4 linked regions of the Drosophila melanogaster genome follow. The protein of the gene in region 3 interacts with the protein of the main gene of each other region in a pairwise test. Each region holds a gene or a part of one and is shown on either strand. Other genes may lie near its edges.

Region 1 (7,895 bases), about 18 Mb from region 3:
CTTATGGCTATCTTCGTATTTGGGGATTGCACTGGCGTAGGTCAGCACAACCAACACTCCCAGCAGCTGCAGTATGACAATGTAATTTCGGTTCATTGTGCTCTTTTAAGAGGGTATCCTTTTGGGTTTCTTTTTTTTTTTTTGTAAATTAGTAATAGTCCTTTGGGGTTTTTGGCTCGTGGCTCCAACGTGTCGTTCGCTCTGCTCCAAACTAATATTTCCAGCAGCAGCAACTCCACTATTTATAGGAGTTGCCTAAAAATGCAAGCAATTTGTTCAAATTACAAAATGTCAAGCAGCGTGCGGATTTGAATGCCGTTTATGCGAGTATTTGGGAAAAAGTGAGGAAAGAAACGCATTCTAGCAAAACGAATGAACAGGTGTTTGTAACCATATAGGCACTTATGTCCCCATACAAGCACAGTAAACAACCCCCCCCCAATGAAAGACCATTCATCGTACTTATGTCGCTGTAATGCGCAATTTTCATTGCATACTCAATTATTTAACAAAATTATCGCAGACACAAAAAAAAAAGTGGCGAAGACGCCAACAAACAACCACGCTGGCTGGGCGGATAAATTGAGCAGCCATGCATCTGAAACCAAAAGTCGTATATCTATGTACTCCAATGGATCAAAATCGCGACTTGGGAACGGAGACACATGGAAGTGTTTGCACCTGCGCCACTTGCATCATTATGAGGGGCATCCGACCAAGAGATTTCTGGTATTAAGTCACTGACATCTTGCCGCTCGTTTTATATCGTATATATATTCAAACGGGCCTAAATATATGGGCTCTTACATTGATATTTATAAGCTAAACGTATATTGCTGAATAAATTTTTGTAAGTTATCGTAATATTAAACATTAAATAAGCATATCAAGAAATATTAATACTAAATTCGTTTGAATAAGGTCTTTTACATTCATATTTTTTAGATGCATAGTTTCAAAAATAATCTCTTAAAGATCTTACAGATCTAAAGATTCAACATCGTCAGGGTCGCCAGACAATGACCTCCATATATCACCTCATATTAAAATAATGAATGAATTATGTCAGACACGAATACTTTTATGGACAATTAGTAAACCTTTTCAAGTTGCAGACCTAAAGTAATACCTCTTTATAGATTTATGAAAATCAACATGTTGCAGAAATGTTGTGCCACCTTTTTCATTTAATCAAAGAAGATTTGTTCGCTATATTGAATCCTTTTCGCCAATTTATTTTCTGCTAATTTTTCAATGTCTATTAACACCTAATTAATACAAAGCAAACACTAAATTCCAAGTCAGTGCTCAATGACATTTTTGTTCGCCGATTAGGCTGACTTCGGCAGCCTTGAAATTACGAATCATTCATTGCCTCTCGTTAAGGTTAATGTCATAAAGAATTTGGTTTTTTTGAATTTCTGCCATGGTTTTGTTTATATACAAGCAAACACCTACACACCCGATTTAAAATGTGGGTATAGGATGATGTGCAGTTTATTTATATGTTCACGAATACATGTTTCCGATCTTATTGTAAGATGGTATGAGTAATCTGGCCTCAAACTGTTGGAAAACAACATTTATTTTTATCTTATTTTCATTTTTGTATTTTCTTAATAATTTATATCCAGCTATTTGTGTGGAAAGCTCTGTGTCCGGTCCACAGGTGATACCCACTGACCATAAATTGCTCTCAGGATTTTAATTTCACGCCTTATTTGTTTCAAAAAATGCCAAGCTCATTCATATCAGTTTTGGCTAATCAATCTTTAAACAACGGTGATGCTTTGAATGCTGATATTTTGAATGATGGGAATACGAATTAAGCTATAAACATTATTAATGTCTACATGTAATCATACTGCTAAATGCCAATTAAATGTAAAAATATTGAAATTACCATAATCAATAATTGCTCATTATATTGAGAAATTCTTGTGGCAGATTTATAAATAAATAATCCGCCGAATGTTTTGATGTTTATCGACCCATATTTAGCCTATGCCAAATATTAGCCTTTCCTCCATCTTCAGATGCCATCATCATCAATTCGAGTCATATCCCATGCTAAATACAGATTCTAATCTTATCTATAAAGTTCTGGAAGAAATCCGTGACGTCTGTTTTCGCAGATAAGGGCTCTATATCCTGGGAGCACTAGACTCGGTACATTTCATGTGTATATAGGCTTTTCCGAACGCAACTGTATGAAAAGTGCTGGCTTTATGTAAACAGAATTCGCTCGCTCTTTTGCGAGGAGAGATGTCAATGTTTCTTAATTCCAAAAATAAGTTCATTTGGGAGATGGATAGAGAAAGAGGTATGGACCGAACGTGCGAGAGAGAGCGGGATCGAAGGCTGTGAAAATTTTGAAAATCAAAAAATTATAAGCAAGTGCTCCGTGCGATTCTCAGGCAGATCAACTCGAACGGGCGTCAAGTGAACAACACGCAACGACGATATATCCGAACCAAAATCCAACGAACAATTCTATTTGAAAACTCTCAAAGCATCCAAATCTAAAAATCTCAACATGGTTTACGAAAGTGGATTTACGACCCGCAGAACCTACTCCTCGAGGCCGGTGACAACTTCCTACGCAGTTACGGTAAGCCCTTCGAAATAGAATCTGAACTTTACTTGACATACGGTAGTGTGGTTTTCCTCGATTTAAATCTGTGAAATATATCTGTGCGTACAGTTGCCAAACTCGAAACTTAAGCAGTTCAAGAATAAACTAACCTGTGATTGCAAAAAACGCTGAGGATAAATTTGACAAATTTGAAAGCAGTTAACTATTTGCTGTTAGCACTTAGCTAATGGCTAATCGAATCTGTAGTCACAAGAATTCAGTTTTAAGCGCTTGTGTCCCACTTGCTGTACTCAATGGTATCATTCTGAGAAGCGAGCAGATTACTTGAGAAATTGAAACACGTTTGAATGTAAAGTGTCTACCAATTATGAATATCGTATCGAACTTACAGTACCTAACTAGCTGGTCTTTCGCAACGGAATGTCCTTGTGCTCAGAGATATTATATTTAATGATCACCTAGACGTTCTGCCCATGTTGTACATATATAGCATTTTCAGGTTCAGTGTAAACATTTGTGTAGTAATTCATACATAAGCCTATTTCTAACAATTTAATAACTCTCACACAATGGTTGTGGTGTACTCGTACTACACTGAATACTACATATGTATATCTGAGTTATGTGCCTGCACAGTCGTCTAACCATAATTAAACCAGACCGAAATAATAAATATGTGACAAAATATTCTGACAAAACGATGCGAGTGTGAAAAGATTGCAATTTTCGCGCGATCGTGGGAATTGAATCTTCAGCAAATTTATTGCTGTGCAATGATCTTCATATCTCTTTCGGATATACGTGTTTACTCACCTCCCAAATATAACACGCTAAATACATTTTGGGAACTAAGAATTTAGCGGAGGCCGAACATTTTCTTCTCTATCTCTATATTTTATTATTATTTACAAAATGCTGAGGTCCGTCTGGTCTGGTGGTCTAATGGTCTGGTGCCCAAAAATGTTTAGAATATATACATATGTATGGGCGAGTGGAATTCCAAACACATGCGAATTCGCGATGAAACTCATACGGAGCCACAGCTCTCTCGATAATTTGTTTTTGTACGGGCCGTGGATTTGCTTTTTGTATGTGTAATACTATATGCGCGCGCATTTCGCTCTTTGCTGGTCCTAAAAATATCTTTCCGATTTCCATAATATATTCAAATAAACCGATGCCATGGCAAGCAACTACAACAAAATAACGCAAAATATTCGAAAATTAGAGGGAACAACATAAGAAAATGCCCATTTTTTCGACTGTCCAATGTGATGATAATCCAAAGCAAGGATATATATGTAGGTACATCGAATCCCCAAGAGATCCATCTTGTCTGGACACTTTCTGTGTGCCATGCATATACATTTTGAAAAGCACTCGCTGTTTATAATTTATAGTGATAACTTGATGATTCGATGAATGAAAACGGCAATCTACTTTGATGTGTATCTATGAAATACGTTTTATTGAGATTTAATTTTTGGTATTTAGGGTTAGAATGTAGGGTAACTGGCTTAATTGATAAATAAACTTGGCTAAATTGCTGTAAATATATATACGTTTGCTGTTTGTGTTCCATCTTAATGCTCCCATTGCACATTACTCACAACCACACTACGTCGTATCAATATGCATATATACATATGTGTATTTAGACTAGGGTGGACCGTTTGGAAAAACAAAATCTAAATTTTCATTACTGCACTTCAATAGAAACCTGTTAAGTAGGCTAGCTTTCTGCAGCCCAACTGTGCAAGCAACGTTGCGTATACGTAATATCTGTTTAAGGCTTGTGCAAACCAAAAGAGATGCAGGTCCACCCTAGGGTTCAGACACATGTGTAGCTATGCATCTTGTGTCATAATGTAAGGATGTTCGATGTTATTGGATACAGCTTGACCCACCCAGCACTGCGATCTGATACCAAACTCAACTACTGCCCCAACGAAGCTGTATATAAATGCCCCGCCCGCGTACTGTATATACTCGTACATATGACTTTGACCCACCGCACCGCCCAGTTGAGATCCCCGTTCGCTGCACCACCTAACCACTGAGCCACAGCTTAATCCCCGGCTGACCCAGAAATTAAAAACAAAATTGTGGACTTTTGGGCATTACAGAGAACGAAGAGAACACCAATTGACTGGGAGAAAGTTCCGTTCGTGCCGCGGCCGTCGCTCATCTCGGATCCGGTGACCGCCTTCGGAGTGCGGCGTCCCGATCTCGAGCGGCGCCAGCGGTCGATCCTCGATCCGATCAATCGGGCCTCCATCAAGCCCGACTACAAGCTGGCCTACGAGCCCATTGAGCCGTATGTCTCCACCCGGGACAAGAACCGGACGCGGATCCTGGGCATGGTGCGCCAGCACATCGACACCGTGGAGGCGGGTGGCAATACCGCCGGCCGCACCTTCCGCGACAGTCTGGACGCCCAGCTGCCGCGACTCCATCGCGCCGTCTCCGAGTCCTTGCCAGTTCGCCGGGAGACCTACCGCAACGAGAGGTCGGGCGCGATGGTCACCAAGTACTCCTACTAGGGGAGCATCATCCTATTCACCCAACCGATAACCCGAACCCAATCGAAGCCTAGTCGAACGAACCTAGTCGTATCTAAGGACACATAACCAACTAAAACAGACAAAAAAAAAACTGAAAATGCATTCAAAATAATGATAGGCCTACATATAGTCTAGCCATAGTCCATATAATCTTGTGTTAACCCACTAAACACTGAACAAGTTTTTACTCTACACAGAGAAAAAGTAGAACTTTTAGACATTCTATCCAGAATACGTTGTAATCGAAATATTTCCATTTTAGCAGTACGCTCTATAGAAATTGTTCAATGAGATTCCAACTACAAACGGTCAGTGCTTTTTTCTCTGTGTACCCATGTATCTAACGTTTCATTCATAGACTCATAGCATTTGTGTGCATAGATGGTTGCATTAAGCTCTTAACTCTAAAGTAAAACAGTTCGAACATGTTTCAATTTCCCCAATTGAGTCGCCTTGCGTTCTTTGGCCATTTGCATACAGCAGTTCGTGGAGCAGCAGGAGCAAGTTTAATCCTTTTATGATGCTTGTGCTGCCAATGCCGAAATAGAAACCAAAACCAAAACCAAACCAAACCTTATCTCTATATCACTATCAAATCGGAATTTATAGACTCCACGCTTAGACCTGTGCACGGACAGACCGGGCTCGCACCGCAGCCGGGCCTCCTCGGACTACTCGTACACCTCGAAGTCGTCCGTGGAGAAGAGCAGCTACGACTCGAGCAACCCGCACTCGTACCGCCCGGAGCGCTCCACGTACACGTCGACTGTGGAGAAGACGTCGCGCAGCGGTCCCGGCGGCTCGTACAACTACAGCACAGAGCGGACCAGCACCACTGGCGCCGGACCCGGTGGCTACAGCTATTCTTCGACCACCAGCGGCAACCTGCCCGGCGGCACCAAGTACCGCCACTTCTCCTACCACGTGTAGGAGACGCACAGCGTCAAAGGATCGGCGTTGGCTGTCCACGGCTTTGAATGTTATGGTGCCCACTAATACGTCATTGTTCTGAATTTATATATATATATAAATATATACATTTTGCAAATAATCCACTTAACCCGCTAACCTTGAGTGCCCATATATATATATATATATTTGTATACGAAGTTTTCAATGATGATGTATTTTCGTTTTGACTTGGACTAATCACCACTAATGCCCAAATAGTTTCGCATATAGACTAGATTAACCGAACAAGATCAACAATTTCTGTGTGTATTTGCAACCTTCAAGAAGTCATGTTAAAACATATTTGTGATACAATAAAATAAACACGGTCTTATCTCAAATGAACGTAGCATTATATTTTCTTGAAATGAACATATATAGAGGTCGATACGATATTCATACTGAAGACACAAATTAGGATAAGGAAATCTAAACCGTTTCTGTCAAGAAATATATGAGAGTTGTCAACTCTTTTGAACCAAAACATGACTTGCTCTATTTTGTATTACTTTCAGTACCCCTCGGTCGAGAAAGTAACTCGTGTAAGTATTTGGTTTTCATCCTTATCGCCTACATCGCTTGTCATCATCCATCTTTCTATGGATTATTACTATTCTTTTCTATTGACTTATATCACACACTGTTCAATCACATCCATCACATCATCGTCACTGGAAAAACAGATTCGGTTAGTAATAAGCCCTCACATCATAGTCTTATTTAGATTAAAGCACTAGAGAATCCATTTAATCAAAATAGAAATTATTCTGGGTAAATCCCACGATCCCACGTTAAATAATCTGAAAGTAGTAAGCATTTTCAAGATGCATTCTTTACTTATTATCATTTCATATATCATCATTTTTGTGATGTAAAATCGACTACTTCCATAATCATAAGGCAGACAAAACTGCCTAAATGGAGAGATCACGAACATATGGTTTACGTTTCTGTTTCTAGTTCTTATATGTTCTTTTTTATTTTCTCTGCTTTCTCATTCCGCTAATCAAATCATAATCACCGAACCTTGCATATTCGATGTTGTCTTAATGTTGAAACCATTGCCATATAGGTGTACAAGTCGAGTTACCCCATCTACTCGAGCTACTCGGTGCCACGCCGCGTCTACGGCGCAACCCGGGTGGTGACCTCGCCCATCCGCGTGGTAACCTCGCCTGCCCGCGTGGTGTCCCGCGTCATACACTCACCATCGCCTGTTCGCGTTGTCCGCACGACGACCCGAGTGATTTCATCGCCGGAGCGCACCACCTACTCCTACACCACGCCATCGACCTACTACAGCCCCTCCTACTTGCCATCGACCTACACTTCGACCTACATCCCGACATCGTACACCACGTACACGCCGTCCTACGCCTACAGCCCGACCACGGTCACCCGGGTGTATGCCCCACGCAGTTCGCTGTCGCCGCTGAGGATCACCCCCTCGCCGGTGAGGGTCATCACCAGCCCGGTTCGCTCTGTGCCCTCCTATCTGAAGAGGCTGCCGCCTGGTTACGGTGCCCGCGCCCTGACCAATTACCTCAATACCGAACCCTTTACCGTAAGTTGGTCCAGCGTACTTAGCACGTTGCTTTCGTAGACACACAGAACCAGGAGTAGTGTTGTTCTGGGCCCTCGCTTCTAGACTTCTTTTCCTTCGATTTGGCCCCCACCCCCTTTAACATTGAATTGATATTACAGACCTTCTCCGAGGAAACAAGCCGGATTCGCAACCGCGCGCAATCTCTGATTCGTGACTTGCACACTCCCGTGGTGCGCCG
Region 2 (5,161 bases), on a different chromosome or scaffold from region 3:
AGTTTGTTAAATAATTTTTTTGAATTTTATTTAAATATTCCTGGACTGTTTTCTAAAAAAATTTCCGTTAACCTTTATAGCTTCAAGTTAAAATGATCAAATGTACATATGTACATACATATCTCCCCCTTTCTCACTCCCTCAACCGTTAGAGCTGTTAAGTGTATAACCTCTAGATTTGTTTTGAATGTGTCAGTTGGTACACAATTTTATTTTCTGTGTAGCGGAGTAGAAAGGGCAGTATTTGTTTTACAAGGCGGGCGGCGTGGCGAGGCGTCATTTAGTCTGCGGTTAGATGCGCGTACGTTTTCGCGATTCTTTTCTCTTTGGACCCCGCTCTTAATGCTCTTGTTGAGTTTTTTTTGTTTTTTTTTGTTTTTTTTTCTTTGGATTTTTGTTTTGTTACAGCCAGGCAGGCGACTTTTTTCGCGTTGGCTTTCGGCTGTTGCGCTGCCGTGTTTTCCACCATTCGCCGTTGTTGCGGTTGCAGCACGTCTGAACGTGTTTATGGCGCGCATATCCGCAAATATGCAATCAGACCATAATCTACTTAATGTCTTTTTCGCCGGGAGGTGAGCCGCCCACCCGTGGCCATCATTAAAAAAGGAAGAGCAAAAAAAAAAAAAAAACGAAAAATGGGGAAAAAGAAGTGCGCACTGCGAATGAAGTAATGCAGTTTGCCACACACGTGCTGTGCGGATTTATGGCCAAAAGCAAAGGACACGCCACATTAACCGAAATTAGGCTGTCACTTTTTGGCCATTCGCGCATTAGCTGCCAAAAGTGAAGTTAAAAGTGCGTGTTTTTTCCGCTTTTCATTATCAAGGCTTTTGTTGTCTACTTTTTGGCGCGCAGCGAAGCATGCGCTGCTTTGAAGTCATTGGCAAGGATATGAGTTGTATTTTGTGAGCAACAGCAGCAGCTGCGGAAATCGAGTTGAAGCAAATGAAAGGATGTGAATTTTAAATGGTTAACTGCGAGACTTGAATGGCACGACAACAATCTGTACAATAACGTATTACAATCAAAAAGATAATTAACAATTTCGTTTACAAATTAATAGGTCTCGACGCTTTTTTTAACTGACATAAAAATTCGAACATTTAGATCTTGTAGATTAGTTGTAAAGTATGTAACACTATAAAGTCAGAATCACTGACAATGTCCGCTTGACTGTCCGTTTGACTGTCCGTATGAACGACGAGATATCGGGTACTATTAGATCAAGAACTACAACTACTTAAGATACTGTTAAACAGATTAACAATTTATGCATCTTTATTTCAGATTGTTGTCATGCCCGCACGTACGACCACAAACCAAAAAAGTCAATTATATAATTTTGTTGAGTGTTTGAATTTATGAATTTAATTTATTATTGCCCAATTTTATTGATGCTAATTTGACGCTCCTCCTAAAAGGTTCTTCCCCTCTTTTTCTAGATTAAATCACTAATGACTGCGGACTCTAGTCCACTTCATGCCATCCGAAAATGTAATTTAGTTAGATATCATCCCATAAGAAAATTTATTTATATTTCCTAGTCGCCCTTGTTGCTTTTCGTACCCACGATGCATTCCAAGAATCCTTTATCCCCTGCAACGCTTTTCTTTCACTGCTATCCCACTTTCAGTTAAATTTACACAACCTTTTAGCTAATTTTAAAGAAAAGTCGACACACAAAGGCCTGAAGGACACAGAAATCGGGCAAAACAAAAAGACGCTTTGCAAAATATTTTGCCGTAGACAACATTAGATATTGTTTTGAGCTGTGCAGACATGGGCTGGCATTTTAGTTTAGTCTCTGTTCCTCGTTGGAGTTTTGTTTCTAGTTCTGGTCTGGTTCTGCAACTGCTTCTGCTTCTGTTTCTGCTGCTGTTTCTGCTGCTGTTTCTTTTGCCATTATTGTTATTGGGGGTTGGGGACGGCTGACAGTCTCCGACTGGCCTGTTATTGTTGGCCCGGCGCACAATGCGGCCATAAAAAGCTGCCAAGCCAAACAATTGAAACAATAAAACGGCTTTAAGAAGGGGCCCTCGGAGCTGCGGCTCTGGCAGAGTAGATAAAGGCAATTAGTGTTGGACTGCAGTTTACTCAAAGTTTCAATCGGAACCGCCGAGTCGTCTAGCTGGTTGGGAACAGGATCTCCTCCAGCTTGGCGTTGAACAGAGACTTGACCGTCTCGTCGGTGGTGTCGATGATCAGCTTGTAGTAGCCCGATCGCCGAAGCAGTCGTTCTTCGTCATCAGCCACCCCGTAGATGTCCTCGATGGGCATCAGGATCTCGCTCTCATTCGGCAGGATTAGCTTGCGTGCATCCTTGCGGAACACGGCCACCGCCTTTACCATGTTCGTGTGTGCCCTCACATAGTGCTGGAAGGTGAGGCTCTTACGCTTCGCTGAGATCTTCGACTGTATGCGATCGAGACGGGCTATCAGGCGGAGCAGTATGAACCGGGCATAGCGATCCTTGATCTCCAGCAAGGACATCTCACTGCCATTGTCGAGGGCTGGGCGCAGATAGACGCTCAGGATGATGAATACGAAAATGGCGTTGATCGCGAAGATCAAGAGCAGTATAGCCAGCTGGATGCAGTCGATGTCCTGCGAGAAGACCTCCGCCAAACGCTTCCAGTACATGAGGTCGTAGTGGTGCACGCTCCATTGGTAGTGCAAGTAGGCTGTTACTGCCACGCCCAGTCCGCTGTAGAGCGCTATGTACGGGTAGTTCGCGTGGAAGAAGTCATTAAACTGCACTCGTAGCTTCTGCCACAGCTCCATTATGTCCTGTGTCCTTTGGTTCCTTCTTTTTTCGGTGTATGGTTCCTGGCTGGTAGGGGATGAGTCCGACTGGGTTTGAATTTTCGTTTCGGTTAATTTTGGTACTTATGTTCCGAAAGGTTGATCCATACAATTAGTCTACTTAGTTCGGAGTAATGCAAAATGAAAGACGATTTTAACAAGCCTCTTATGTGGCATTTGTCTGTGATTATACTTGATTAGGTTAAGTTCTTAATATTTTGTAATTTTTTTAATAAATATAAAACAAACTCACGCATTGAATTGGCCATATGAACATTTATAATCTCTATATCTCTCGTTCTCTGATTATCTCTTTATTTCTATTCAAAAATGAAACTATTAATTCTGCAGTATTATTATGGTCTTTAAATTGCTCTGATTTGAATGAGCTATTGAATTGGATTGAAATTGAGTTTTACTCAAAAGTATAAGAGTTTTTTTTTAGCCCGTTCACCCTGCAACCAAATGTTGTGGATGCCAAACAAGTTGCGAGCTCGACGAGGCTGGGTCGAACTTGTTTGGCCTGAAGGGATTGAGCTTTATTGGTGTTGTCTGTAAAGGTTTGAGCAGTTTTGAACAGCACTCATGTGGTAAAGGTCTGTTCCCCTGAAACATGCAACCAATTTCAGTGGCCACAACTCGCATGGAACCGCCCACGACTGCAACTCGAACTGTCTTAAAGTCTTTGGGTTGCATTGTATTCTTCATTTTTTTTTGCGTGTGCTGCAGGCAACTAAAATACGTAAAATACGTCCAGGTCCTGTTGGGCGACAACATTTCGCTATCTGGACTAAGTTTTGCCAGTAACCCGCTTGCGCCCCTCCGCTTTTCCTATCAACCCTAACCGATTTGAGACGTTGATAAGGCAAGCGAAAAAAGCATAGCATACTTCTGAGCGCAATGCAATTTTCCGTTTTCATGTTCTTGGCTCTACTTTTTCGACGTTTTATGCTGCTCTTTCCCTTTTTTCGGGTTCGTCCTTTTGTGCTCTGCACTTATTATTGTCTCTTTTCGGTTGACTTTTTGCGCCGAGGCCAAAGTGCATGCAAAACTGCATTTTGTAGACAAGCCGAAAACCGAAAACTGCCAGCCAAAACGGAAATATTCAAAAATGGTTGGCGGAGTGGGCGGTAGTGGGCGGTAGAGTTCAGTGGGTGGGGACGGCCTATCTGCCAACTCTCGGCCTCTTCCTCCTCCTTCCTCCGCGTAAGTGTGTCTGTGTCTGTGTATGTGTGTGTGTGCGCGCTAATAAAAACGTAAAATTTAATGGTTACGGAAGGCACTAAAAAACAGGCTCACCGACAGCACCCAAGTAGTTGTTGCTGCTTCTGCTAGGTTCGCACTTGCAAAAATCGAGTGCTTTCTTATTAAAACAATTAATATTTGACAGTGAGATATTTTCATAGCTTTCACCTTTTATACAAATTATAGGCACATAATGCACTCTTTCAACTACATTTCATAAGTAAAACTCAAATTAAAGGCACGAAAAGAAAACATTAAATTTGGTGTGCCTTATAAATTGTGTTATTATATATTTCATTAATTTTTGTTAATTAATTAATTATGTTAATTTTTTTTTATTAAAAGAAATGAGGTATATTTAGAATATATTTTTATTTACTTCATAGTTGCCTTAGGTAGATACAAGCTGATTGGAAATTGTCTCTTTCAAGACCATAACTTAGGGTCTCAAGACCGAAAAAAACATTCTACTTTGCTTCAATACGCATCAATCAACGGAAGCTCTATCCGATTTTTCCGAGTGCATCTGCAGTTGCCGCTGCACTCGTAGTGGTGCAGGCAGTGGTCTTCGGCTGTGTGAGTAGTGGCACTGGCGATAACCAAGCAACGAACCACAACCGCACCAAGGAGCGCGGGGAAAACCATTCGATGGGCAAAACTGTAACTACGCCAACCGCCGCCGTCCTTGCCACCCCCTTTGCCAGCCACCATTTCGCCCGCCGCCGACGCAGTGGAGCGCCCATCCGTGCACGTCAAACGCAGACAACTTGAAAAATGTAGAGACAGCGCCGCAGTATAGTTGAAACACGCCAAAAAATATGCAAAAGTAAAATAAAACAGGCACGGCAGACACAGCGACAGACAAACGCATTTGGGCCCGTCGAAAAGCAGGCCCAAACCAGCAACTTCCAGCCACCAACTACCAACTACCAGCGACCAGCTACCAGCTACCAACATCCAACGTTCGACAGTCGAGGGTCGAGGTTCGACATTTGCCGTTAAGGGTTTTTCGCTGTTGCTGTTTACACCCGATCTCAGCCGAAAAGGGAAACTCGGGGGTATGAAGGGCTATTAAGCCAAGTTCTCTCTCCAGGAAATAATAAGTTAGCTTAAA
Region 3 (8,013 bases):
CCACTCATGAAGTCAGTGGACTCCCTACTAATCGGCATCGAGACCGCCACGGAATCGGAGTCAGAGGGTGAGTTGGTTTAGCAATTTGAGGGGAATAATCTTTTCAAACTGATGCTGATGCCTTTCCAGACGAAAACTCTCTGCGCATGGACTGGGAGGCGGTGCCCAGCCTGACACCGCAGCCGGAGCTGGCGGATCCCAATCTGATGCCGGCGGCCAACCAGCAGTCTACCATCGCCTTCGTGCGAATGGCGGCCACATCGGTGCTGCGCTGGATCAAATGATCGCAGACCAACAGACGTCCGATCTTTCGGCTATATCATCATGAGACACGCGTGTTATCTTTTACAAATTAGACTAAGTAATCGTTTCTGTGACAGCACGTCGGTGTTTATCGGCAGTTGCTGGTTTTAGCGTTATCCTTTGGTTTACAGAACTAATTTTGTATCAATTATATATATACATATATATTCGCTGTGTGTAAAGAAAATGCGCCTTTTGGATTTATTTCTATTACATAACTTATTCGCCTTTATTTAATAAAAATGGTTCTCTATAAATAAATATATATAAATTTGCTTTATTAATGCTTGCATAGTACACTGACTTAGTAGGTAAACGACTCAATGAGAAACAATAATTAAACTGGTGCAATAATTGGAAAATCGGCAGACACAGCTGCGAATGAAACCTACCTAGAATCAGCACTAGAATCTTAGATTAGAATCGCAAGGGAACGAGCTGAGTGACCCTAGCTAAATGAACTTTGTGGGCAGTTGTTGCGTGGATGGGCGAGCAGCTCCAGTCGTGGTCACCACATCGCCGCCAGCGCTGGGCTGCGGCAGGCTGGGTTTAACGAATACTTGTGGCAGTGTGTTGGCAGAGGCTCCCACCTGGGCGGCGGACATGGAGACGGAGCCGTTGGCCAGCAGGTCGTAGCGCGGCGAGGCGTGGCTCATCGTGGAGAGCACGATGGCGGCGGCCATCGCCTCCTGGTTGTAAAAGGCCGTCACAGCAGCCGGAAGGGGCTGCTGTGCGGCCGATCCCGAATGTCATTGGCGCGTGGGCGTACTGGGCGCTGAGGATCCCATTCCTCCGCTTGCGCCCTTGACGCTGTTCGGCGAGAAAGCCGCTTGAATGAATTGCTTTTCCATTTCCTTCAGATTTGACATAGTTTTCATTATATGCGGATCGGTGAGATCGTACACTGGACCCAGCGTTCTTGGGCTATTGTAGATATACATGTTATTCGCGCTGTAGCCCAGGGATCCATTTACCTGCCCCACCGCACCCAAAGACGACCGACCTCTGTTCTGAGTCTTGTTCTTGGGCTTAGACTGGACTTTCTTTTGGGGCTTAGAGGCAGGAAAAACTCCCACAATCTCAACGCCATCCGACTCGCTGCTGCTTTCCCTGGCTACCGACGTCGTTTGCGCGGCCTTTGAGATGGCGGTGATGACAGTGGTGGTGGCAGCTAGCTGCTTGGACGTCTGAAGTATATCGCTGGTGCATTGATAGTCATCCAGGTTGATCACATGGGGAGAGGGCCGAGCTCCCACAATCACCTTGGCTTGGCCGTCTCCAGAATGCGGACTGGGATTCCCGCTGGCTGCCAGGGAGGCGGCCGTGATCAGATTGTAGAAATTGTTGCTGGTGTTAAGGTCAATTTTCCGGCTAGGGGATGCCAGATCCAGAACCGTACTGGCGGCTGCTACGGCGGCGGCATTGAGTGCTGCTGCCTGAGCCGAGGTGCTCGGCATGGAGAGCAGCGTGTCCAGGTGGGGCAGGTGGTTGTTGTTATTGCTAATGGCTGGTATACTGACGGCCGCCGTGGCAGCCGGCGCCAGCTGGAATTGCGGATGCGGAGTAAGTTGCGGTTGCAGCGGTACCTGCTTAGCCACCTTTTTCTTTGGCGGCTTGCTGGTCTGCTTGGGCATCTCCTTCAGCTTTCGCTTCAGACTGTTGGAGGAGGCACTTGTAGCTGAGTCCGTATCGGAGTTACCTCGAGATCGAGGGTCCTCCACTGCCTTTAGGTAGCTGCTTGCCGGCGGCATTTGCTCAGGAGCAGATACAACTCCAACGGGCTTGGGCGATGCGGACGCCGGCGGTGCCTTTGGCTTCTCCTTTGCTTTCAGCTTGGCGTTCTTGTAGCGTGTTATTTCCCTTTGCAACTCATCCAAACGCATCCAGCCTGGCGGCCACAGTTCCACCACCTTTTCCTTGAGATACCAATTGATGAACTCCTCCAACGATTCCTTGCGCTTGGCTAGGAAAGCGTAGGACGTCCAACGCGCTTGGTACACATCGTACAGCAGATGGCGTAGCTCGCTGGTCCACTGGAACTTCTTACGCGGCATTTTGGGCGGCAGTTCGGAGTTCACGTCCGCAGCTCTGAAAATAATAATCATAATCTAAAGGAACCTAATCGTTATTTCGCTTAACAACAATCTTACGCCTGTTCAGCAAATGTGCGCAGTTCCGTCTCATAGTTGGCCACCGCCTTAGGCATGACCACAGCTACAGCCCGCCGCAGCTTCTCCAGCATAATGGTGGACTTCCTCTTCTCCTCCTTCGCCCGCACTTGTTTCCCTTTGCGCAGCATGTAGTACTTGGGCAGTTGCAGCTGATACTCGATGTGGGAGAAGACCATGTTGCGCTCGTTGCGGTCCGTGCACAGCACCGCCTCGTACACCCTGGTGTAGGTTAATGGATATAAGCCTTAAATCTGTACTTGATGTTTACATCGGCTGCAAACTCACCGAAGCAGTAGTGGCGAAAGCTTCACATCCAGATTAAACTTCTTGCCGCACATGTCTCGACTCTTCACCGCTTCTTTGAAGCTGTTGACTGCGGTCACAATGTCCGCATCCAATGTGGTGGGGAGCAGAGTGTCGGCGGTGCGAAGATCTTAAAAATGAACACGTGAAAGGGTGATTTCAACCAACTAATACTGTATATGTAACTCACTTTCCTGCCCATCCTTGCCATGCTGACCGGCCTGCCTATCTGCCCGGCCGTGCTCAGACTCCATATCGCTGCTATCGCTGCTGGACACGTCGGTGGAAACACACTTCAGCTCGCCGTTGCCGACGCCCTTGACAGCTGCCGTGCCGCTCTGCGACTTCAGGAAGCTGTCTCGCTTGGCCTTTAGCATGTCCTTGACCGTTGTGGTCTTAACCACCTTCTTTAAAGCTTGCGCCTGGGCCTGACTCTGCGGCAGGGACTGAAGCTGACTTGATGGCTGAGTCTGGATAGGGTCTTGGCCGTCTTCCGTGTCCGAAATCTCCACCGTGCTGGGTCGTGGCGAGTTTGAGGATGAGGAAGTGGTGATCGGCTTAGTCGGCGGCTTCTTGCCACTCGTCAAAGAACTTGAGCTTGGTTTGGACTTGCCCGTAACGATGACCTTGGCCCGCTTAGCTTGATGATTGTCTTTGTACTTGCTGCTGGATTTGGCTGTAGCAGCAGAGTCCTCGTCCTCAAGACTTTCACTCTCGGAGTCGTCTTCGGAGTCGCTTTCATCGTTCTCCTCGGAGTCGTCCTCGGAATCGCTCTCGTCGTCCTCCTCATTGTTGCCATCATCGTTTTCGTCATCATCGCCCGAGGATGACGATGAGCTTTCCGAGCTGGACGAGACCATGCGCTTGCGTGATCGCTCTGGCATTTTGATGATGGCATCTGTTCGAGTGGTGTAGGACTTCTTGGTGAGGTTCTTGAACTCCAGTGCGCCACAGTTGATGTAGAAGCCGCCCTCCAGAGTTTCCGCCTCCTCCGGTATGATTTCGTCGTACTGGACAGAACATAGAGTTTAAGGTAAATAATTTCAGTGCATTCGTCGGAAATATTTCTTGTTCTTACGGCTTCCGTGTTGTCGATGAATGAGTCCGACTCATCGTAGCCCATTCCAATGTCCCGGTAGTCGTCCTTTTTGCTCTTCCCCCTGCCTGTGGCATAGGAGTTGCCATACTTGGCCTCCAGCTCCTTGACGATCCGTGCCACATCGTCATCGTTGTCGGCAAAGGGATCAGTGCTTGCGGAGCCATTGGTAGTGCTCACCTGCTTCAGCTTTTTGGTCTTTTTCTACGGATTGCAAGGGTTTAGAAAGCGATCCTCCAACTGAGTTATACACTCTTACCTTTTCCAAATACAAAAGCCGGGAGTAGTTAAACTCGGGATACTTGTTCGAATCGGTCTCGAACAGATCGAGTTTGATGCGGATGCACTTGGCAGTCTTTGTCGTGGGTTTGGAGCTGTTGTCGGGTGCAGCGGACGCAGCATCAGGCTCCAGGATGTTGCTGCCGAAGCGCGAGAAGCCCGCATCGCCCTGGATGATCGAGGTGAGGGTGACGCGCTTGTGCTCGCCCCCCTTTGACATTTCCGGCGGGCAGAGTTACGGATATTCAGTGGGATAGGGTTTCCTTTGAGCCGAAAGGGCCTTCCCGCCCTTTTTTTTCGAAAGAGCCGCGTGTTCTTCGTTGCTCTTTCCCTCTCTCTCTCTCGCAGCCAAACAAAAACAACAGAGACGTCGCTGCTGCTGATGCTCCTCCTCCTCCTTTTCCGCTGCTTCCTCTTCTTCTGGGGATGTCTGTTTTAGGTTTTCTGCACGTACACCAAGCAACCACAACCACTTAATAACCGTGGCAATTTCACTCTGAGCTGCACTTTCTTGTTGTCGCCCCACAAACACTGCTTTATCAACATAAACAAATGGCGAGGACCTGCGCCGGATTGCACTACTTTAATCGCCGCCCGCTTTGCAGCTGCATCCGCCGACCACGGCCACGAATAATTGTCACTTTTCTGGGGGAATGAAAAAGTGGAAACTTTTTGGGGGGTTTCAAATTGGTTGGCTTGCCGGCACGAAAACAACACAGTCTGTAAAAGCAGCGCACCGGGGATTAAACACACGCAATCGACGCTACCAAAGGGGACATTTAAACGATTCGACCAGGCGCTTTTCGCACGGCCAGGAGCGCGATTCTTAAATTGTTTCTTGTTAAAATCCTCAACGCTACATTCTCTCCGCTCCACCCCGCACCAAAGATCCGACCCTGCTTTTGGCTTTCGCACTCGCGTTGCGCAGCACTGGTCGCGGTTTTCGCAAATTACTCCGAGCCGTTCACACTGCGCGCAGCACAAGCCGAGACTTGCTGCGGCTGGCTGCATTTGGCAATATTTAGTTGTTATGGGTGCTATGTATTTCCAAAATTCCGTTAGTTAGAAATTCATTAGCTTGGCATCTAGCTCATTTTTAAAGTAAAGTTTCGAGCTACCAAGTTGATAGGTTACGTAAAATATATAGGTGGCTTATGCTGTTGTAAGCTTAATTGTTTAAAAAGGACCCAAAATCAAAATATAATGTAAACTTTTTTATAACTTACGCGGCTCTAAAACTTTCCAACAAGTAACGAGATCTGGCTTGAAAGCGGCCAACACTCGCACTAGCTTTTGTGCATCCCTGTGCAGTGCCACATTCCACACACATTTCTGCTTTGTTTTGACCAGAACGGGCCGTTGTGCAGCACTGTTCGGCACAGCTGTTCAGAGTATGGGGCCGCGGGTGGTGGGCAGATTTTCTTGGGGCGATTCAGTATTATTTCGATTGTGAAGGAGTTTACTTCGTAGAAAGTCAAGTGCTCGCCGTTTAATTAGCGCAAGTGCAAGTGAGTCGCAGTACGTGAGCTTGGGGGCTTAATTTCATGCGCCCGCTCCACAACAAAAACAAGCGAAACGAAAAGAGTTGCATGCACAGAAATTCGAATTCGGTCGAAACTGCAAGGTGTTATTATAACGGGAATGGCCAGTGCTCGTTATCGGGTGAAAACGATTAGGATTGTGCAATTAACAAAAGTGTGCCGTGCTGCTCTTTTCACAATCCAATCCAACCCAATCCCCAACTCCCCCACCCCCAATCCCCAAGTGGCACCACACAAACACTAGCACATAAACACTTATGCTGCCTTTATGCTTGCAGCCCCACTCGAGCTCTTTTATGTATGTATGTACATATTTATCCAACGAATGCAAGTGACCGACGTCCAAAGAGCAACGTACGGGATACGGAGCTCCGACAAAGGCTTCCCGCTTTCAGTGGTCCGGTGACTTTCGCCGGAGTAGTGACTCCGTCCCAGGAAACCAGCTAAACAAAAAGCCCCCAGCCGCTCGTAAAAAAGTGTCATGAGACAATAAAGGAACTTTAAGAAAGAAAGGAAAAGCGACGAGAAGAGTGGAGCTCCTTTGTTACATCTCTGGAAGAATCGTTCGGCTCCGAAGCAAAGGTGAGTAATACTGCTTCATTACGAAATTACGGGGCCTTGTACATTTGTAGTTCCAAAAAACAACAAGGGGAAATCGTTCATATGGGAAACAAGAGACTACCATTATAAGATAAGATCAGAACTGCGACTGCTTTCTTTTATCTCAAGTGACGTAGTCCAAGGTGAACACAGTAAACACTCGATGCAAGGACAACTTAGGTTTAAACCAGTTTTCTACACTACAAATTATGCAAATGGGTTAGATATCAAAACGAACACCCGTTTTCTTATCATGTCTACAAGTTTCTTTGCAAGAAAAAAAGGTTAGCTACTGAGAGTGTTGCCCGTAGCACTGCTTGAATGATAAACTCTACTCCCAGACATTGAAATTCCTACACCAAAATGGAGTTACGGCAATCGACCTTGAAACATGTGGCCCCAAATGCCTTGCCAACCCAAATTGGTTTCCCATTTTCTATGAAAACTTGTGTGTTTTTTTGGTAATTCATCTATTAAAGGCGGCAGCCAGTTTTTCATCTCAAATGGACAGAAGCCGCACACAAAAATAAAGCGATACACATAAACAATCAAACAACAGCAACAAGTGAGCGCACAAATTTAATTTGCTTTTTAATGCGTCATTATTGCCGATTTGCGACATGCTCGAGCTGCTTTACTGCTACCTCTTCGCAGATTTTCGCATCCCCAAGAGGTTCGTACAGTTGCGATCGCTATCGTTATCAGGGGAGCTCTTAAACCGAATGAGCGATACTTTATTTATTTCTGCTCTCTATTTGCTTTCATGATTAATTAAATGAGTCTGCTGTAGGAGAATGTATTAGCAATAATTATGGATAATTCACCAGCCCATCCAAAGCCATTCTTAAAGTTCATTTATCCAGTAGAAAACTTTGTTACAGAGCTAGGTTCATTGATCATTAAAAGGTTAAACAGTCTTATTCATAAACATAGGAAGAAATATTATTTAATTGTGGTTCAATCCAAAAGGGATCGTTGGCCGCCTGTCGTTGATATAATCAAACCGCACTTTGTCGCCGACAATTTCATTTACTCATCGTACTTTCCCCAACCAAACTAACAAATAAACTAGAACAAAAAGAGCCGCTGGTGGTTGGCTTCACCGCCAACACGACCACCCACTACAGATTCGGTTTTCCATTTTTAAAACAATGACGCATGCACGGAAATAAATTACATGATATACGCCTGACAATCTCATTACCTAGAGACGACGACCCATCGATAGTGGCTCTATGTATATACATACATAAAACACTCGGTTCTTCTTGGACTCTTTCAGTAGAGAGCGATGACGGAAAGCGTGGAGCTGATGAACAAGTACGGCGAGCCACTGCGCTACGACCGGAACTTCACGGGACCGAGGCAGAGGGATCGCAGCTGCACGGATGTGCCCTGCCTGCTGTTATTCGTCCTCTTCCTGGGCGGATGGGCCTTCATAGCCCAATACGCCATCAGGAACGGCGATCTCAACAAACTGCTGGTGCCCACGGACTCCTTTAACCGAAAGTGTGGCATGGACTCCGGAGTGCTGAACAAGAAAAACCTATTCTTTTTCGACTTGAATCAGTGCATCGATCCACTTGTACCCATCACTGGATGTGACACTCCACAGGTGAGATACCATTAACATCAAATTTGCAAGGAGTTGATCTTACTTTTAATGAAATACGTATTTCAACAGGTTTGTGTGGAGACTTGTCCCCGAGAGACGTTCGTC
Region 4 (8,920 bases), on a different chromosome or scaffold from region 3:
TCCGCCTGCTCCTGCTGCTCCTGCTCCTCCCGCTACTGCTGCTGTTGCTGCACTTGCGCCCGGCGCAGCAGTTGCTGGCGGGGATGCGGAGCTGCTGGAGTGCGGCGTTAGGGGATGCGACTGCACCTGTGCCTGGTACGCATGATGATAGCTGCCATATTGCGTGTGATTCTGGCTCTGTTGGAGCAGCGATTGTTGCTGGTTAGCCTGGTGTTGCTGGTGGAGATGTTGCTGCTGGGACTGGTGTTGCTGTTGCTGCTGCTGTTGGTGTTGCTGTTGCAGTTGCTGCTCCATCTGGTAGCCCAGCAAGTCGGGTGAATTGCCGGAGGTGGAGCTGCTGGAGGGCGTGGCCGGTAGCTGCAGAACTCCCTGTTGCTGTTGCTGCTGCTGCTGTTGCTCAATGGCCAGTTCGCTGCAACTCAGGCCAAAGTTGCTGGTTGCTGCCGTTCGCTCCTTGAGTTGCTGCTGCTGTTGCTGTTGCTGCTGCAGTTGCTGCTGCTGCTGCTGCTGCTGCTGCTGTTGCTGCTTCATGCGCGCCTGACTTTCGTGACTCATGGAGGACATGCTGCTGCCACCGCCAGTGGTTCTATAATGTCAAACAATGGCAATTTATAAAAATATATATACAATATATAACTAACATGAAGCAACATTTACAGCTTAAATCTACAGCGAATGCTGCTCAGTTGGCCAAGTGTAAAAACGTGCAATATTATAAATATTAGTGTTATGATTTGTAACATAACCAGGCCGAAAGCCATAAGCCAAACACTCGGAGAAAAGAAATGAAAATTATTTGAAGTATTTCCTCGTAATAAACAAGTTGCCTAAGCACCACGATCGTAAACAAAATTGGGGAATTTGTTTACACTATGCTACCAAGTCGCGGCCTGGCAAGTTCGACAAATATGAAAAGCCCTTCGAATAAATTGTTTATGCCGCCCGGCACATCTGTCAGTCCACCCATCACCATCATCATCAGTAGTCCCATTCCCATTCCCATTCCCATTCCCTAAACCATTCCCATTTCCATTTCCATTCCAGCTTCACATTCTCGGCATTTTGAAGTTCTTTTGTTTTTGAGTTATTGTTGCGTTATTTGAAGTTTTTCAATATTTTCCGGGAATATCTATGCCGAATGTCGACCGAATGTCTAGCTCCACTTTGGACATTTGTGTATTTCAAGTTTTGAAAAGTGGGTCAATTTGTTTATCATTTGTTATTATTATTACATATTTACATTTATACTACTTCTAGACGTTCGAAAATTGTGTACTATTATTATTATATATATTTTGAAATTTATTCATTCAGCATTTTGAAATGCTCGTGTCAAAAATCTAGAACTAATTTTAAGCACATGTTTTTTTTTTTTTTAACACAATGCTAGACAATCAAATTACTTTGCCACATTTTCGCAGACAAATGAAATCGCATTAAAATATAGTTGCAAGCTGATTTCAGCTTTCATAGTTAATAGGTAAAAATAAAAAAAAATTAAAATAACAAAAAGATTTGGAACTACTTACACATCGTTGGTGCCATCATCCCGAAAGCCTTTGGCGAATGGATTGCTGGAGATCTTCAGCTGTGTCACCTGCAAGACGGCCGGAAAATTGGTGGAAAATATTTTTATTCGACTGGAAAAGCGCTTGAGGCATGCCGACAAGCTGGCGGGCCAAACAAATAAATTAAATACCCAACAAATTAGTGAAAAAAAAATTAAAAAAAAAAAAAAATAATAAAAGAAAATATGTTTATGTGGCATATGTGGCATTCCGCTGGCGGCGGGGTAAAAATGATTTGCGATAAATTCGAGGGCGGGTGGAAAAAGTGTTAACACCCCCACATAAATAATTTAAATACTTGCCCCAACGATGTCTATGGTTATATTTTTAGCCACCCACAAAATTCCCTCCCCCCTCCCCCTCCCCCTGGCCATCATTATGAATCACAACCAAGACAAAAAAATGTGGAAAACCGAGGGTATACAATGTACATATGTATGTCGAGAGTTCTTTCAACTTGCGATTAGATATGCTGTTCACTGTTCATTACTAATATCAATGCACCCACCTGATATCAATCCCACCTGATAATCTTATCTTCCCCATTTTTCGAATGAAAGCCACAGTGCATTGGAAACGTGGTTTCTAAAATCTTGTGTATTTGTGTATGCTACTTTTTTATTTTTAATATTTTTTTTTTCGGGTTAGAGTATCTGCATGGTCTGTGCTCGCATTTCCAATTGCTGTTATATATACATATATATATTCGCTATGGTTGAAATTGTGCTAGCTTTGGCCGCCGTTTGTTATAAATTATGGGAAAAACATAAACAATAAGGCCAAAATGGCACAAAATGGTCGCGGCCTTTTTGGCCGCTTCGAATGCCAAGATGAACTTATTGATAATACATATAAATCATTATGGTAAATGTTTACAAATAGCAACCAGCATATTTCGATTAACAATATATATCATATATTAACAATATATATATCATATATATATCATGCTCACCCGCTGATTCTGGTAGGCAGTTACGGCCGTAAAGCTCGTTTCCGGAAAGATGAAAGTGCGAAAGTGGCTGGAGTGCTCGTTCTCATCCAAGGAGGCGTTCTTCGGTGGCAGATAAACCAGATGGAAACGCGGCTGGTAGCGATGCATGGAGTTCAGAATGATCTGGAGATGAAGAGGCAGGATTTGAATATACCTATTTATCTATCTATCTAACTATCTATATATCTATCTATCTATCTATATAAGTAATGAAACGTACATGTCCATTTTCGTCCAGCTGGTTATTGGTGAGCTTCAATTTGTCAAAGGACACGATCTGCTTCATCCAATTGGAGCCGACGGCTGGCGAGTCGGGATGCACATGAATCCTGGGCGGGGAAATGGGATCCGCCTTGCCAGCCACCACCCAGCAGGAGCTGTTGCAAATTGAAGTGCATCATTTTCATCGAATTCCATGTGGCCATGGCTTTTTAACATTAACTTACTTGTGAAAGGCGTAGCGATAGCGTTTGTCATCCATGGGCACAAAGTCCATCATGCAAATGTAGGTGGCATGTGGATCCAAACCACCGATCCTCACCTGAAACGTGGGAAACATGCGTCGGCCCGTCTTGGTGATGATCATTTCGGTGCCCTGGGCATGGAACTGATCCCACAGCGCCTTCGTCTCCAGCACCACAATGGCCTGGGCCAGCGATGGATGCACTGGCTCCGATTCCTTAATTATCAATTGGAAATCATATATTTTAAATGATCTATTATTTATTTCGTTTCCCATCGTTGAATTTACTTACACCTTTGCTGATATTATGGCTATTGGGCTTCACTGTACCGTTCTCCGCACTGTTGTTGTCTTTTTTGTGCTGTCCCTTGAACTTTTTGGACGCGGTGGATGCACTGACTCCGCCAGCTGATGTCGTTGTGACTGCCGTGCCGCCGGCTGTTGGTGCCATCGAGGCTTCACTGTGTACGCCGGCATAATCGGTTGGCAGCGATACGGACGACGATGACGACGACGACGACTGATCCGGGCAACTGGGATTCGAGATGCTGCTGGTGCTGCTGTTGCTGTTCGCGGTGCCAGTGCTGCCTGTACTGTGCGTCTCGATGTCCGCCAATTTGGCATCGATCTGCTCCAGCGGCTTGTACGAGCTGCGATCCTTGCCAGCCGTTTGGATGCAGGCTGCAGTGAAGCACAAGTTGGTGTTACAGTGCGGGTTAAAGTGGAGGTTAAGGTGTGGGTTAAAGTTGTGGTTAAAGTGCTGGTTAAAGTGGTGGTTAAAGTGCGGGTTAAAGTCGCGGTTAAAGTGGCGGTTAAGTAGTAAAAGTAATGTAACATAAAATGCTGCTCATTAAAAGTGAAGAATGATCAAGTAATCCATGTGGCTATGTAAAATATGTAAAAAATCTATACAAAACTCGATTTACTTTAAAGAAAACTATAGTTTGGATATCCCTATAAACTATCCTTATCCCTTTATAAACTAATTAATAATGAAGATATCTCAATTCAAGCCCCTGTATTTTTTCATATCCCACTGACAAATGGGCGGAAAATATGCGACTATAAATCAAACACGTAGCGCGTATAAATTCTATAGCAAGTGAATGGGTTTTATATATATAAAATATATATGCATGTATATAGCTGCTGGGATTTGCTAATTTCATACTCAATGTGATTTATGCGATTTAAATGAGAAAGTGGGGCAGAAAGCACGTAGACGCCACGCCGGCGCAGATTTCTCACTTCTGGAGCTCGCAGTTCACAGTTCTGAATTCTGATTAAAGGAGTCTTGTAATAATATCACTTGATGATATATCCACACACCGACTTCTTTTTTTTTGTTTTTTTTGTTTTTTGTACGTTTCGAGTTGCGAGTTTGGGGCAAATGGGACAACATGTCCAATTATAAAAGAGGCGTCTGAGTAGCGGCGGCTGCTGATTGAGTTGCATGCTCTAAATTTAGGATCTCCCCTTTTCGGGGGATGCCTGTAAAATGGTATGGTATGGTATGGTATGGGATTGCATGGGATGAGATGAGATTTTCAGCAATTAATTGTCACTGGGCTCGCAGTTGCGGGAATTGCCGCAATGGCAATCAATGCCGCGAATGACCCATGACAGGTCATTTAGCCGCTTTAGCGCTAAATAGTTGCCCATTTTCCTCGATTTTTTTTTTTTAGCATTTTTTGCTGCACGAATGAATTCTAAAATCAATTAACGTTTGGCACAACAAATCGTTTTTCTGTCACATGCACAACATCAAACAACAACAAACACGAGAGAAATGCCACTTGAAATCTCGGGGATCCGGGAATTCTGAGCTAATTGATCGGGTTTTCTGGTTTTCTGATCTTTTGGTTTTCCGATTCTCTGGTTTTCAGTTTCTCAGTTTCTCAGTTTTTTTTTTTTTAAACTTTTGGATGTCATTTGTGCCGCCGCTGCCATGCTCGGTGTATTTTGCTAATTACTCTATCGCAAACGGATTCCATTTCAGTTTTTTGGGTCACTTGCAGGCAGACAAATGATATGGAATATATACATTTGTTTGCTAGCAAAATTCCATTGCCTGATTTTTGAACAAAAAACATAATATCGAATAGTCAAATGGAAAATATGACTTTTTTGTTGCTTCGCCTTTTGTTTGCTACGCGATACTTCTTTGATAAATATTTAAAGCATATATTTGAATTTAAGAAGTTTTAGTTGTACATTCGATTGAACTGAAAGGTAAAGCTAATAAAATCTTGGAAAAATATGTTTAACTAGTAGTATGCTAATATAAACTAAAAGCCTATTTTCTAGTTTAAGTTTTGAAACAGATAGTAAAAAAAAAATATACTTTACAGGACTTAAAAGTCTAAACAAAAGTAAAAGTTCATGCAAAAGTTATAACATATTAAAAATCTACTTGTATGCTTGTTTGCGACTTTTAAAGGTACACAACCTAATATCTTAATATCCGATTTAAAATACTCCGCGGTAGAGTTGCCTAATCCTCTCCAGCTTAAGTCAACTCAAACGACTCACCTTCGATCTGCTTCATGGGACTGAGTCCGCCGGTCATGTACGGCGATGTCCAGTAGTCGTTGCCATAGCAGTTGTAGTCCGTTAGGCTGGTGTCCAGGAACTGCATGGATGTGGTGGTCATCATGGCGCCGGCGCACTCAGTGGGGCCCATCAGGTGCGTCATGGCGAGCGTGATCGTTGGAATATATATATATATGATATATATATATGATGGCTGGATATGTGATGCTCACAGTGGAAGAAAGGAAATCGCAGCGAGTTCTTGGCCCATTTATTCCATTTATTCCGGCACAATTTGTTTTGATCTCGAACGTTATTCGCGCAGTTGTCAAATTTGATTATTGCACCCACACACAATCACTCACTCATTCACTCACTCACTCACTCACTGTGCACTGCAAAAAAAAAGTATGTAGTGGTGCGAAAATCCAACGCCAACCTTTCGCTGTTGTCAATCAGAATCGAGATCGAGTTCAAGAATCGAATGAAAAATCAAATTAATTCTCTTCGAATTGTTTTTATGGCCCGATCGCGTTGACTGGCGAAAATTTGCCCGATTGTAGTTTTTTGTTTTTTGTTTTTTTGTTTTTTGTTTTTAATTCCCTGTGTTAGCTGATTGATTGACTTGAACTTCTTTTATTTGTTTTCTTTCTAATTCGACTGGCAGAAAGCGTTGAGTTGTCTCAATTGCCACCTTCTTCCGGCCAAGTGCGAACTGATTATCCCGTATAGTATCCTATGTTTATATCTCGCGGATATATCGATCTGATCTGATTTCGAATGCGATCTCTGGATGCCTAGATCTCTGATCACGCACACATCCGTTCCGTCAAGCGCTGGTCCGCCGAATGAGAACAACTACTGCTGCGGCTGCTGCTGCTGCTGCTGCTGGGCAGATGCATCGCTGCCTCTCGAGATCCCAAGATGCCGCATTGTACGGACCATCTCCCCAAATCGAGAAATCTATCCGCCAATCGCCGGCCGCAGCATCCAAATTTAGACTCGCCAGCCGCACCAATCGATCCACCAATGGCCGCACGGCCACCTCCTCCTCCTCCATCTCCTCCTCCTCCTCCTTCTCCTTCTCCTCCTTCTACTCCTCCTTGGATCGCACCGACATGTGTTGGCTCGCCTGGGATCTAGCCTAGTATCAAGTGGATGAATATGCCGCGCAGAATTGAGCGTAGGGTGCGCGCAAGGCATTTACCAGATGTGGCTACAGTGAGGCCTAGAACTTGGTGAACACTTGGGGTTTGCTATCTGCAACTCTTTGTTTGGTTTTATGCAAACTATGCTTAACATAGTTATATTTATGTAATCTAATTTGATCATATTAATAACTTAATGCATGTAAATAGTATAGAGGTATCCTTTAGAGTATATAGATCACTGTACTCTCCACACGTTTCACTAATTTCTGCTCCACTGTTTACTTCTCTCTTGTTTTTTTTTTTTTTTTTGAAGGGGCGTGGTCTTTGACCATAAACAGCAGGCGGTGGAGAAGATCAAGAAGGAGGAGGAGCAGGTGATCCCCACTTTTGCATATTGTTTTCTTCATTCTCTTTTTTTTCAGGGGGGCGCGCTGATCAGTGGGCGTGGCCCGTGGAGTGGGTGGCCGACCAGAGTCATGGGCCTCATTTGGAAAACGCTTTTAATTGGACTGCCGCACGCATGGTGGTGCTGGTTGCTCGTGGATCTCGCGGTGCTCCGCTCAATGCTGCAGTGCAGCCGAGATGTTGCTGCTGCTGTTGGCCATAAATACAAATTGCGCCATAACCTCGACACTAAATAAACCGTAAAAAGGAAAACGGAATATTAAGACGTTGGCAAGGCGCACCCAAAAAATTCAATTCATTTGGAATAATCATAAGTTTTTGGAAAAAATTGCATTAAACATAAGAAATACGAAGAGAATATGAATTAATACTTAATACATAAAAAAAAGGATTACTGCTAATTTTTCATACGAAATTTGAATTAGCTGTGAGCAACATTTGCGCTCAGTGTAGCGGCGGCCACCACCTCCGCCACAAGAGGGAGTGAGATGGGCGGTCGAAAATGGCGTCTGTTGGCCATTGGAGCCCGGAATGTGGGCCCAGCGGAGATGGAGATCCGGGGAAGCCGAGAAAACTGGACCGATCAAAGTGAAACAGCCCGATTAACCGGGTGCGTCTGCTTTTCATCAGCCACGGCCATTCCAATTAGTGGGTACATACATATGTATACATATAGATGGTATATCTATTATATATAGCATGTAGTAGTATATGTTACCTGGCACACGGGGTCTCCAAGTGAATCGATTTGTTTACCCTCCCTCCTACTCACCCCTTCCATATAAATCTACGCATCCAGTTGCGTCCTGGATTTATGGAACAACTGCTTGTTAATGTTTTTCCCTGATTTTCGTTTGCCGCACTACTGTTTACAATTATTTTGAGTTAATTTTTTTTCCCCTTTTTTTTGGCATTTTCAGAAGCATTTCGATCGCAGCAGATCGTACCATGCAGTCCATAAATAATACATAAATTTGAAAAATTGTTATGGCATTGGCCATGCCATTTTAGTCGTTAATTATTTGTTTGAGTGTAAACAATTGGAAATGAAATGCTAACTGCTTCGAAGAAATTACTTAAATGATTCATAAATTCGATATTCGATCTTTTTTATCGATTATATAAATATTATATATAAATGAGTGTAATGCATTTGTTGTAAAATTTCCATCATGGACGAAATCGACTAAAGGTTTATTATTGTATCGTAAATTTAGATTCCAAATCGAAGCGTTTGGCTTAAAGGAATTTCGAAATTAAATGACGACTAAATATTTTTAATTTAAGATAATTTACAACAGTCTACTTCTCATTGTCGTTATTCGTGGCCTTCTTCTTGAGATCCAGAGAATCCATGAGATCCAATGGAGCAATCCAGCTCCGGTTCCGTCTGGCCTTTGAGCGATAAATCATCGGTTTGAATTGAGGACAAATCGTGTCCAGTCATGTCCTGGGCCTCCAGTGCATCATCATCGTCACCTGCGTTGAAGTTTAGTTGACTTTCGTCGTCCGGTGGATTGACTAGGCCACCAGGATATTCTTCGCGTTGCTGATAGCCACCGATCAGTGTAAACATAACTTCACTATCGTCTATCCTGCCATAGCCGAACTTGCTTAACTTGCTGCTCTGATTGGCCGTCAGGACGACCGGCTTCCAGGTGAGATCCAGGGTGGACTTATTGGGCCCCAAATCCTCCAGTACGCTCTGATTGGATAGCACGCGACCCTTGTACGACAGCCGACTGAAGCCCATGGGCACGGACATGACTTGCCCGATCCGTGCCTTCAGGCTGGCCACCGTTCCTAA

The links.
Region 1: the proteins of yem (region 3) and fau interact in a two-hybrid assay, tested with the Drosophila melanogaster proteins (one large-scale study listed by BioGRID).
Region 2: the proteins of yem (region 3) and CG6497 interact in a two-hybrid assay, tested with the Drosophila melanogaster proteins (one large-scale study listed by BioGRID).
Region 4: the proteins of yem (region 3) and org-1 interact in a two-hybrid assay, tested with the Drosophila melanogaster proteins (one large-scale study listed by BioGRID).

Annotation. Positions count from the first base shown.
Region 1 is NT_033777.3:10,771,893-10,779,787, reverse strand, and holds fau (fau), read left to right. Parts: upstream 1-2,413; 5' UTR 2,414-2,536; coding exon 2,537-2,611; intron 2,612-4,722; coding exon of another isoform or gene 4,723-5,139; exon of another isoform or gene 5,140-5,769; coding exon 5,770-6,090; 3' UTR 6,091-6,591; downstream 6,592-7,895. Other genes in the region: Desi (desiccate), read right to left, coding at 2-96; CG45078 (uncharacterized protein), read left to right, coding at 2,537-2,611, 4,723-5,139; CG45076 (uncharacterized protein), read left to right, coding at 2,537-2,611, 6,627-6,653, 7,184-7,675, 7,816-7,895. UniProt on the Drosophila melanogaster protein: Plays an important role in the regulation of tissue responsiveness to oxygen deprivation.
Region 2 is NT_037436.4:17,251,043-17,256,203, forward strand, and holds CG6497 (uncharacterized protein), read right to left. Parts: upstream 2,896-5,161; 5' UTR 2,782-2,895; coding exon 2,125-2,781; 3' UTR 1,335-2,124; downstream 1-1,334.
Region 3 is NT_033777.3:29,117,830-29,125,842, forward strand, and holds yem (yemanuclein), read right to left. Parts: upstream 5,051-8,013; 5' UTR 4,373-5,050; coding exon 4,133-4,372; intron 4,078-4,132; coding exon 3,856-4,077; intron 3,788-3,855; coding exon 2,968-3,787; intron 2,908-2,967; coding exon 2,760-2,907; intron 2,694-2,759; coding exon 2,454-2,693; intron 2,392-2,453; coding exon 1,053-2,391; coding exon of another isoform or gene 756-1,052; 3' UTR 501-755; downstream 1-500. Other genes in the region: Atg14 (Autophagy-related 14), read left to right, coding at 1-67, 130-284; Ctl2 (choline transporter-like 2), read left to right, coding at 7,585-7,908, 7,978-8,013. UniProt on the Drosophila melanogaster protein: May play a key role in egg organization. May be a transcriptional regulator having a role in chromatin remodeling in concert with Hira, a histone chaperone. Involved in chromosome segregation by affecting kinetochores function in the first meiotic division.
Region 4 is NC_004354.4:8,448,575-8,457,494, forward strand, and holds the start of org-1 (optomotor-blind-related-gene-1), read right to left. Parts: upstream 6,496-8,920; 5' UTR 5,721-6,495; coding exon 5,558-5,720; intron 3,707-5,557; coding exon 3,318-3,706; intron 3,242-3,317; coding exon 3,009-3,241; intron 2,940-3,008; coding exon 2,783-2,939; intron 2,686-2,782; coding exon 2,524-2,685; intron 1,598-2,523; coding exon 1,530-1,597; intron 587-1,529; coding exon 1-586. Other genes in the region: CG32713 (uncharacterized protein), read right to left, coding at 8,432-8,920.